Linked DNA regions of Sus scrofa. The protein of the gene in region 3 purifies or fractionates together with the protein of the main gene of each other region. This does not show direct contact. Links are inferred from orthologs where the notes say so. Each region holds a gene or a part of one and is shown on either strand. Other genes may lie near its edges. The genes, in order: PTPN12, DOCK4 and GRB2.

The links.
Region 1: the proteins of GRB2 (region 3) and PTPN12 purify together in Homo sapiens (affinity purification with mass spectrometry; 3 studies listed by BioGRID and IntAct, with this or other methods). This does not show direct contact. The link is inferred for Sus scrofa from reciprocal best matches to the Homo sapiens genes GRB2 and PTPN12.
Region 2: the proteins of GRB2 (region 3) and DOCK4 purify together in Homo sapiens (co-immunoprecipitation; 4 studies listed by BioGRID and IntAct, counting the BioPlex papers as one, with this or other methods). This does not show direct contact. The link is inferred for Sus scrofa from reciprocal best matches to the Homo sapiens genes GRB2 and DOCK4.

Annotation. Positions count from the first base shown.
Region 1 is NC_010451.4:102,560,979-102,564,725, forward strand, and holds the start of PTPN12 (tyrosine-protein phosphatase non-receptor type 12), read right to left. Parts: upstream 2,768-3,747; 5' UTR 2,661-2,767; coding exon 2,562-2,660; intron 1-2,561. UniProt on the Homo sapiens protein: Dephosphorylates a range of proteins, and thereby regulates cellular signaling cascades. Dephosphorylates cellular tyrosine kinases, such as ERBB2 and PTK2B/PYK2, and thereby regulates signaling via ERBB2 and PTK2B/PYK2.
Region 2 is NC_010460.4:33,860,103-33,863,749, forward strand, and holds part of DOCK4 (dedicator of cytokinesis protein 4), read left to right. Parts: intron 1-120; coding exon 121-297; intron 298-1,036; coding exon 1,037-1,120; intron 1,121-3,647. UniProt on the Homo sapiens protein: Functions as a guanine nucleotide exchange factor (GEF) that promotes the exchange of GDP to GTP, converting inactive GDP-bound small GTPases into their active GTP-bound form. Involved in regulation of adherens junction between cells.
Region 3 is NC_010454.4:5,939,855-5,943,601, reverse strand, and holds the start of GRB2 (growth factor receptor-bound protein 2), read right to left. Parts: upstream 2,880-3,747; 5' UTR 2,749-2,879; intron 1-2,748. UniProt on the Homo sapiens protein: Non-enzymatic adapter protein that plays a pivotal role in precisely regulated signaling cascades from cell surface receptors to cellular responses, including signaling transduction and gene expression.

The DNA.
Region 1 (3,747 bases), on a different chromosome or scaffold from region 3:
CGTGATGGGAAAGTTGCATAGATTTGAAAGAGCACAGTTTGAATGCCCATTCCACTTTCCTAAAGGTAAGGCATTCTTAATTGTTATTCTATAATTTCCAAATCTGAAACAGTGAACTTTATCCCTTTACAAATGAATAGGGTTATAATAGCTAGATTATCTTTAAGGCTCAATTCTAAAATGCTAAAATTTAAAACTGCATTTTAATCCAGTCAGAATTTAAGAACAGAAAAGTTAGACTCTATCAGCTCTTCCATGGCAGAGAGGATATAGTTTCCCTCCAGCCTTCTAGTCAAGGGAAAAGACAGCAACAACCAGCAGCCTTAATTATATCTACAGCTTATCAAGTCACGGAATAAAGAAAGCAAGCACTATAAAAGAACAGCCTTAGTCATCAAATCATGTAGAATCACCTAGCTATCCCAGAAGAAAAAGGAAACTCATTTAGTCCTAGAGAAAAGAAATCTCCAATAGGAATCCCTGACTCATCCCCAAAGCATGAACCCTAAGGCCACTTCCCCTGCACAGGAGTTCAGAGACTGAGCATTTGTCCTGATGGCCTGCATTTCCAAACAATGCTCCTTCCTGACAGGATAGGCTCCTGGATAGCAAGAAGACTAGCATGGAGAGGAAAAGTGGCCAGGGACCACATCACCTCTTCTTCCATAACCAAAACAAGATTGTAATTAGTCTGAAACATATAACATATTCTAAGTTAATATTTTTTTCTATTTTTGCTAGAGAGTCAAAAGGGGACTCCATTCAATTACTGTGGTATCATTCCAAAAATAGCAACACATTCAAAATTCTCAGAGGTAAGAGGGAAAAATGTCCTCTTTTCCTTAACCTTCTCAGATCAAAAACTTGTTTTTCAAAATACATGGGCTAAATAACAAGAGAAAAATGTTTAAAATAGGCATAAATTATTTAATCAATATTTTTTTCCACCTTGAAAAGATACTATGGAAACCTACCTCCTAGCCTCTATTATTGGTCTAGGGAGGAGGGAATCAACAAAGCTCAACAATACTGTTACAATATTGTGTAAGGTCAGGGATCTTATATATATATAGGTGTTAACAATTTTAACATTAAAAATTTACTAGATTGGAGTTTCTTTAAAATGTGAAAAGGCATTTTAGTACTAAAAGCCATTTCACCTGCACCTTGTAAACAATTAAACTGTACTTTGAAACAAAAAACAAGTCAACGTTTGCTGCTCAGTCCTTTTTATAGACATAAACTATGTATCCTTTTTACGATCCACAATTTCAGACTTAAGTGATTATTCTTCGTGTATCTAGCCCCGGAGCAAAATTTTCCCTAGCGTATTTCCCATTCCCAAACTCCGCCAAGTCTAAGGAGCAACCACTTCCCAAAGTCCCACTTCCTTTTCCATTCCCCAGACCTCCAGGGTTTCCAACGCCCCAGTCTTGCGCAACATCCGCAGGAGCAGCAGCCGCAACCACCGCCTCCTAAACCGAGAAACAACCCTAAAGGGAACATTGTCCAGCAGAAAAATAAAGGGGGGGGGGTAATGGAGGAAGTCGACTTCTGGTCCCACGCCTTCGGTTCTGACCCCATCACAGTGATGACCCAAGAGCAATTTCACGCACAAGACTTTTAACCTCGTCTCCAGCCCGCCAGCACAAGCAGAGGGCGGAAGCGGTGGGAAGGGGGGTTAGGATGGGGGTAGGCCTCGGAGGTTATCTCCCAGTTCAGGGCTTCGGCCCTTACCGTCGCCTCCGCCCCACCAGGACTATTGTTCCCAAGTTCCCCACCCCCACCCCGGATAGGAAGTGATAGTCACATCCCCTCCGCCTTCAGCAATATCCCCTAGGGAGTCTGAAGTAGGCTTCAGGATAACCACCCCCGCCTCTACACATACACTTTACCCCCTCGACCTCAAGTCACGCTGACCCCAACACCATCTCAAACCAGGGTCTCAAGCGACGAGACGGGTAAAAAGAAATTGAGTAAACCAAGAGATTTCTTTCGAGCAATCCTTTCCCATGCGTTGGAGATAATAATTGCCAGTCCAGAAACGGCAAAAGTCCTACCTTGCCCACTTCTGAGCCCAGCTTGAGCAAAGGGACCCCGTGAGTTAATTGCAATCTTAATAGCCACGTTCTGCCGTCAGCCAAGATCGCTCTCCTCCCTGCCTCGACCCTCCCAGCAGGGGCGGTCTGGACGGGGAGGTGAGGAAAGACTAGCCCCCCGGCCTGCACCTCATTCGCCTCGGGCTCCCGGCCCGAGAAACAATAGGTGGTCGCGGGCGGCGGTGCTGAGTGCGGGCTCGGCCGGCCGCCTCTCCCTTCGCGTCCCAGACGCCGGCGGAAAGGGACGCGATCGCGGGAAGAGAGGAAAGGAGGCCGAGGGGCGGAGGCGACCTCACCTCCCGCTGGCCTCCGAGACCACCCGGCCTTTGGAGCTGGTGCGCGCCGCCTCCGCCCCTCTCCTTACAGCCGCACACAAAGCACTGGCGGCCCGGGCCGGCTGGGCAAGGCGGCAGTGGGCTCCGGTGCCGGCGAAAGGAGGCGACAGCGAGGGGAGGGACTCACCATGAAGTCCCGGGCGAAGTTGTCCTCCCCATTGTGATCCGGACTCTTCATGGCCTGGACCCTCTGGATGAATTTCCTCAGGATCTCCACTTGCTCCATCCTCCCGCGTCCCCCCGGCTGCGGTCGCCGGCCCCCCCGCCGCCCGCCCGCCCGGCGCAGAGCCCGCTCAGTCTTCCCCAGCTCGCTCCCCCAGCCCGTCCCCTCCCTCCCGACCCCCGCCGCTCCCTACTCCTCCTCTTTGCCCGAGGCAGCGGCAGCGGCAGCGGCAGCGGCGGCCGGCTCCTGATCCTACAACTTGCAGGAGCAGCCGCCGCTCTCCCACAGTACGAGGCGAGCCGCTGCGGCTAGCGCCAACCCCAACCCCCTGCGTGCCCCATCCTCCTTCCCCGCCCTCCTCCAGCTCCGTCGGAGACGCCGCCACCGCCTTAGGAACACGGCTCTCCGATCGCCCTGCCCCCCCCACCCCTTCCCGGTTCCTCCTTCCCTCCCTCCCCACAAGCAGCAGCAGCCGCAGCCGCCTCTCCCCACGGGCGCGCCCCCGCCGCCACCCAGACGCGCGGCCCCGTGCCGCGGCTCCGCCCCTGGCGCGACGCCGCGCCTAGCCGCCCCCGCAGTCCACGCCCCGGAGCCCGCCCCGCGGGCTCTGGCCGGGCTAGGAGTGGCTGGAAGAAGCTTCGGCAGTCGGCTGGGAGACTTGACTCCACTTCCGGGGCGTGGTCCCACCCCGGCAGCTAGTAGGTCTGAGGAGCGCTAGAATGAGGGTGTTAGGCTAAATGGCAAGCCCTAGTCAGTTGGAGTAGGACTTGAGTTGGAAATTACGGTCTCACTGCTTACTAGTGCGAAAAGCACATTTCTAGAGTGCTTCGCCGTCGCCGCCAGCCTTGAGTTGGGACTACAAGTCCGGGTTCTCAGGAGTCCAGGAATGGGGGCGGGAGAGGGCGTTGTGGGAAGAGTGGCATGCTGGGAACTGTAGTAGCGTTGACTCCACGTTCGCTGCAGGTACGTCTTCATCTTAAGGTTGACTGCAGTTAGACGTTGGCACTTTGGGTAATGACCAAGGCCAAGAGAAGCGAAATGCTTCTTCAGTGACAGGACTTAACCCTTTTGCAGTTGTGTTTAAACCCTGCCGAGTGAGCGCCTGAAGTGCGGGGTGCGTCCTAATACATACCACGCATGTGATAGGCAC
Region 2 (3,647 bases), on a different chromosome or scaffold from region 3:
GTCGAGATATTGATGAGAGCCAAGGGGGAGCACAGATCATTCCGAACATGGATAATCTACTGTGTCTTTTTTCTTGAATGTCACAAAATCCAATATATATTTATGCTCATTTGTTCTCAGGTAGAAATGAGTCCTCTGGAAAATGCAATTGAAGTATTGGAAAACAAGAATCAGCAGCTGAAGACTCTGATTAGTCAGTGTCAGACCAGACAGATGCAGAATATTAATCCCCTGACCATGTGCCTGAACGGAGTTATAGATGCTGCGGTTAATGGTGGAGTTTCCAGGTATCAAGAGGTGAGGATTAGGTACTGATGTCTGAAAATTTTTATATGTGATGTCTTAAGGTTTCAGAAGTATTTTTTTCAAAATATACATGCACATCAGCCTGTTAACATAGGGCTGCAGTTAACGCAAACAGGTTTATTTTTTAAATAGAACATTAGTCATTTGTAATGCACACTTACTCCTTTTTTCAAAATGTGGTATTTTGAGGATAAAAGTGTGTGTGTGTGTGTGTGTGTGTGTGTGTGTGTGTATGTTTTATTGAATGAAGAAAAGTAGTGAGGGTAGCAGGATTGTTTAATAAATGTCTATGTACAACCATTTCCCTGAGCAAACAGTGGTTCTTGGACATAGAAAAATCTGACCCTGTTTGGAAGATACTGGACTTTTCACCTGCTGTCTTAGTTTTAAACAGAAAGGTACAGTAGCTTAGAAGGTGAGGCCACCATCTTGATCATTCAGAATCTTGAGGCAGTTTATTTTAGGATATAATGTCATAAAGCTTATTGATTTGCATTTGCTATTTCTTTGTTTTACCAAAATGCAAAGCGTGTATAATCTCTGATCTCATTTCAACAATAGTTTCCTTCTATTCCTATCTGACCAGCTGACCACACTCAGAATCACTTCCTCTGCCCCAAAAGTGACGGATAATGGTGTCATTTCTTTAAAGATGTTTTTAAACACAACTGTGTCTTTCACTTCCTTTGTAACACTCTTGAAGTAAACTGACTGTCCCTTCTCTTACTAGGCATTCTTCGTCAAAGACTATATCTTAAGTCACCCTGAAGATGGAGAGAAAATTGCACGGTTAAGAGAGCTGATGCTGGAGCAGGTAAGGGGGACAGAAGCCCATCGCCTTCCCCCCTCTTCTCTGTAGACATGTGTTTGCCTACCCAGAATCCCACCTACATGGCTTTCTACAATGCTAGCTTCTCACTGAAGCTAGCAGTCAAGGGTTATAGATTTGCTTGTAATATATCTCAATTTGCTAATCTCTACTTTTTCTTCCCACTTTGATGCAAACAAACACAAGCAAAAAAAAACTGTGAGTTGACAACAACAGCTCCTTCTAACAACTTCATGAAGTCTCTTCTTTGCATGCTCTTTCCCCAAGGGCTTGGTGCCCACTTTTCACTCAAGATTTGGGGATCGAATATGTTCAGGCCAACTCAAAATAAAATGATGTAATGAATGAATGAAATTCTTACTTAAACGTCACCATAAGGAAGTAGACAATCAATACCCTTTGCTTTAAAACAGTACCACGTTGTGCAGGCTAAGCCTATAGATTAGACGATATAGACAAAAACTAAATACAACCTCATCATTTTCTGCTTCAAGAAGCATAGTTTGTTTTTATTTCTTTGGTCCCATCAAGTATGAAGAACCAAAGTGAATAATCTGTTGCCTTTGTGCCCCTACTAATTATTAGCTCTTGGCCTGAAGATGGTTTGAAAACCTCTGAGGTGTGAGACATTATGGTTGGGAGGCTGGCTTCAATAGGAAATGAAGATATTTTATACCCATGAAAAATGGAACATGCATGATAAAATGTGAGAGAAGCGTCTCTTTCCTTGATAGTACCAAATAATACTTGATAATACCAAATTAATAAATAAAGCACACTCTTTTGGATTAGGAAATAACAAGGTCGTATCTAGTTTTATTTCACAGTTTATGCTCCATAGGCTTAGTCCTCAAACCTGCATACTGAAGGGAGAGAAATGGCCATGGACAAGGGCCATGGCTGGAAGAGGGTCAGTGATACCGCTTCTGGAAAAGAGAGAGGAATTACTAGACGCTGACCTGCAAGGAAATAGAGAATAAGTTAAATTCTCATTCTGGCCCTGGGGGTGATGTAGATTCTAGAAGGGAGTGGCTTAGGTAATCCAGTACTTGGGATTATGGAATGACCTTGGCCTTCGTGGATGTTTAAAAGTTTGCCCCACCCCAGGATTCTTACCTGGTGTATTCAGTCTGACTGAATTCTTTCCCTAGAAAAATCAAAGGGATTAGGAAACCGCTCAAGAAAAATAAAATCAGAGACCTTTGTTTCCTCCACATCCTGCCCAATTGTGTCCCTGGGGACTTGTGGCAAGAGCCAGGGCCTCAGAAGCATTAAATCTCCATCGCCTTGTGGTGGTGCAGGTCACCTTGGGCGGTCCACATCGCCTTTGTGGGACCGTGGAAAGCGGCCTGGGCTGGAGAGGGCCTGTCCTTCTCTGGACCGCCTCCTCTGTGAGCTGGTTCAGAGAACAGTTGTGGCGAGGCACTGCCCCACGGCTCCTTCCACAAAGGACTTGTGGCCTCCCAGCTGCTGGAAGCCACCTTGGGCTTGGGCTCAGGTCCTCAAGGATTGCCTCTGCTGCTGGGAGCCACCTAGCCTGAGTGGCCTGCATCCAGGGACTGAGGAGGGGACACCGAGCCTGGCCACGTGACAGACCATTAAAGGTTCAGCGCTCCCTTGGGGTCATGCCGTTGAGTTTCTTTTTTGGTCACGTCCCATCTCTGCCCTCCCTCCCTCCCACAGGCAGCGACCCCAAGGATCCATCCCCGTAGACAGCCTAATCTCCATGTCAGAGCCTGCTTCCGGGAGAAGCCAACCCAACGCTATCTGGGCCAAAGGGAGGGCCCCTCCCAGCTGGTGTCAGCGATGGAGGAGGCCCCTGCCCTTGGGCTCACCTGCTCCATCCCTCCTTCCCTCTCCACACACCACACTGGCCCTTTATGCCTTACACAGACACGCCACTCAAGCTGTTCCTTTCAAGGTGTCCTTGATGTTTATTTCAAGGCATTTTTATCTTTATGCAAATGTGCTGGTGGTGGTGGGGCCTCCAGAGCAGAAGGTGCCACACTTCTGACCCCTCAGGCAGGTGGCTGGGTGCTCTGACACTCCAGGGTCAGTCCTGTTCGACCTGAGCTTTCAACCTTGAATCTTCACAGGCTGTAAAGATAAAGGACTGTCGTGGTGATGTGTGATTTGTTTTCCTGTCAGCCTCTGGAATTTGTTCTTTTGACCACTGTAGTGCATTTTTTAAAATGTAAAAGACAGCTGCTACTCAAATCAAAGGAATTAAGCACTATTGATAGTTGAACAAAGCAAACTTGCAAGTTTATAGTCATCTCGGTTTAGGTCCTCACAGCAGGAAGACTTTTTAAAATAGCAGCTCTATCTTTTTGCATTATAATAAGTGAACAAGAATAATGTAAATTTTTTTTTTTTAACAAAAACAACTGAAGCATAGCAACTGTCATAGAATTCCTGTTCTCTTGTTACTTCCTCCCTGACAGATTTTGACAATCTGGGAGAGGAAGGGATGAGCACAGAAGAACCAGATGGGAGAGAGAAGGGTAGCATG
Region 3 (3,747 bases):
CCATCTCAATTTATGGATGCATTCTGTAACAACAGTTTTGGTCCTTGGACCAGCTACATCAAAATCACCTCTTTCAGGGACTGATTCACTACGAGGTGCCTTCTGAAGTTCTGCAGCACAGTGGCCTTAGGCCCAAAACCTAATTTTTTTTTTCTTTTTTTGGTCTTCTGTCTTTTTAGGGCTGCACCTGTGGCATATGGCAGTTCCCAGGCTAGGGGAAGAATTGAAGCTGAAGCCGCTGGCCTACACCACAGCCACAGCAATGTGGGATGGGGCCGCATCTGCGACCTACACCACAGTTTACAGCAACACTGGATCCTTAACCCACTGAGCGAGGCCAGGGATCGAACCCTCGTCCTCGTGGATCCTAGGCAGGTTTGTTAACCACTGAGCCACAACGGGAACTCCAGAACCTAATTTTAAGTTAAGATTCATAGGTAATTCTTATGCATGCTAAATTTAAAAAATCATGCTGTACTGTAAAGGTATCTTTACCAGATTTTAAAGTTTACATCTCAGATGATGCATAATGTCTTTGCATAAATTGAAAATAACGCCTATCCACTTGGCACAACTGTGAAAAAGCCAACTTTGACAAAAAAAAAACAAAAAACAAAAAACAAAAAAAAAACAAAGGCTCTCAATAGTCATTCAGGAGTGCCAGAAATGTCTTCTGAATTAAGCGAATAACTATTAATTTCTCTCAGGAAACCATAGTGGGTCTCTATTCCGTATTACTTCATTTCTCCAAAATCTATTACTTTTTTGTTCTAAGTAACCATTAGAACTGTTGCTACACAATGTGCAACATGGTAACAAGAATTTCGGGGAAAAATCTCTAAGTACCATCAATTAGTTGTATTGAAAAACCTAGTAATCCCTCAAATCTGAACACACTTGCTGAGGAAGTAAACTGCCTCAAGCATTTGAGTGCTTGCTTTTAGTAACAAACAAAGCTGATTACAAGAATTAACCTTTTTAAATTTGGGGGATTCAGAACATTTTAAACAAAGGAAAGGCCAACAGAACATAGTTATTTCTTTCTGTCAACCGCCTTCCCCCCTCAAGCCCAGCAACAATAACAAAGAAGGCTGCTTATAGCAGATGCAGGAAGAGACACCTGATCTTTAAAAGCCTGGGAAAGAATAAGTTAGTACTACTCCAACAGGCAAGCTTTAATTAATTCATCAGTAGTCTAAATAAATTCTATTCCCTTAAATGGTTCAAGCTCTCTTGATTGTAATATAGGTGTCTATGGTTGGTTTTCATTTTTTAAGTCGCCTCCCCCGCTAAAAGCCAAAAAGAAGGCATATGAGCCCCAAATTGACCCAATCTTCCTTACTAACATAAGAGAGACATAGAAAAACCTGAGCAGGCACAAAAATGCGATCTAAAAGTGAAAAAAAACAACTAAAACACAAAAACACCAGCAAGCTACACTTGTGATCTAGTGCAGTATTAGTGCAGTATTGGTTACGGCTGAACTCAATCCTTTGAGCCTCCCAGCTCCCAGGGGGAGACCTTAAGTCTCGCACAGCTCTCTAGCAACCCTTCTGGCTGACTGAAGAAACACAGTGGACGCTTCACAGCAAAGGATAAAGCAGGGAAGAGGGCATCATCTTTCCGGGAGAGAAACGGAATCTTTAAATGAGGGAGAAAAACGAACGGGCGAAAGAGCAGAAACCTCAAAAAATTATGCCAAAAGGGACAATAAGGAGGAAGGGGAAGTAGATTAGACTAAAAGGGGGGAGGGGGCAAGTGACTTGCATTATACGGAGTAAGCATTTCGTGGCCGCAGAAGACAAGGGAGAAGTTTAGAAAGGCAGCAACTGTGGAGTGCAAAGTGAACAGAGGGACTAGAAAGCCCAGAAGACTAAAGCGAATTTCTCTAGTGCGCCTTTCTTTTCCACCCTCTTCTGAGACTCAAGAGTAGCAAAAGACAGAACCCGCGAGGGCACTTCGGCTCTTCTGCAAAGTATACTTTTGCTGCATCTGAAGCCAGCCTAGGTGAACTCCCTAAATAAGCTGTTAACTAGCATGGCTTTACAATCCTATACACAGAGAGAGCTGCAAATGAAAAGTGCCAGCGATTCTCTGCCCTCGATCACGGAAATCTTTCTTCGGAGCATTCCGATTAACTGCTGCTTACTTTTCTTAACAAATGTTTTTAGGGAAGCAGTCAAAAAAAAAAAAAAAGCGCAATAAAAGTAAAGGTATTTCTACTGGCTCCGGTAACAAACGTCCTCGCTCACAGTATTAATAGGGTTGGTGGGTTTCCTCCCAAAATTCGGCCCCCAAACACCAGGAGTTGGTGACGTGGTGGCCGTATAGGTCGAAGGAGCATCAATCACCATATTTGCAACCCGCCTCGAATCCCCCGCCTCCCGGGCCAAGTCACACTGACTCACAGAATGATTACCCTGTGTTCTCGGGCTTCTCCGGGTCCCCCCTGTGCAAACCTTCACGAAGAAAGCATAAAATTAAATCAGGAGCCCCCAGCCTCTCGTCCAGGGCTCTGTTCCAAGCCAAGGGTACTGAGAGGACGGTCCCCGGGAAGGAAGCGCCCCAAAAGGGGAAACATGGAGCCCGGAGCCCGGGCGCTCCGCTCCCCGCCCGGAGCCTCGCACTCCCGACCCCCAGGCCCGGCAGCCCACGGTACCCTGGGCCCGGTCCCCCGGGGCCGACTCCCGCGACGAAGCGGGGAGGAAGCAGCACGCGAGCAGCGCCGTCGCCGCCAGCCACACTCACCGTGGCGCAGCTGCTCCGCTCCACGCCCGGCCGGCCCCTCTGCAGCGGTGCGAGCGGCCGCAGACCCCTCTGCTGCTCCCCGAGGGCAGCGCCTATTCTCGCCGCCGTCACCGCCACAGTCTTCGTCGTCGCCGCCGCGGTCCGGTAGCTGAAGCAGCACAGCCGCCTCGCTTCCGCTCCTGGTCGGGGTCCCGCGAGAACTTCCCTGTGCGGCCCCGCCCCGCCCCGCCCCCGCGAGACTTCCCCCGGCGGAAAAGGCCCAGAGCGCAAGCGCTCCTCCTCCGCCAGGCCCCCCGCAGGTAGATCAGCTACAGGCCAGAGCGCAGGCGCCAGGCCGCCCCGCAGCAGGTGGCACCGACAGGGCTCCACCCCTGGGTCGCCGTAACCCTTTCGGTGCCAGAGCGGGTCAATTACAACTCACCTCCGAAAGAAAGGACTTTTTTTTTTTTATGCCCCACATTTGCATGATTCAATTGTCATATTACTTTTGATGGCCGATATCAACTTATTTTTTTTTTATTTCTCCACTGTACAGCAAGGGGGTCAGGTTATCCTTACATGTATACATTACAATTACATTTTTCCCCCAGCCAAGAAAGGACTTTTATGCACACCCTAATCACTTCGTTTTCCCCTTCCACCAACCCAGTTTGGCGGGGTTGGGGGGGAATCTCCCTCCCACGTGAAGCAAGCCAAATAGAGGATCAGGTCTGGAAATATTTGAGAATCTGGTCCAAACAAACTCTGCTGCGTTAGGTGAATGAACATATTCGTTCGCTCATCGATTGAACCAAGTGCCTAGTACATTCTAAGCACTGTGTCAAGTATAGAGGGTCCAACTAAGAACAGAAATCCGGGCCCTTTCTGCACAGAAACGAATTCAAGATCTATAGGAGGGAAAGAACAAATAATACCATAAGTACGGTCAGAATTATTTGGAGAAGGCTGAGGAGAGGCGAGGGGTCGCCGCTCCTCCCATCTCAGAAAAGCGTTCTCGGA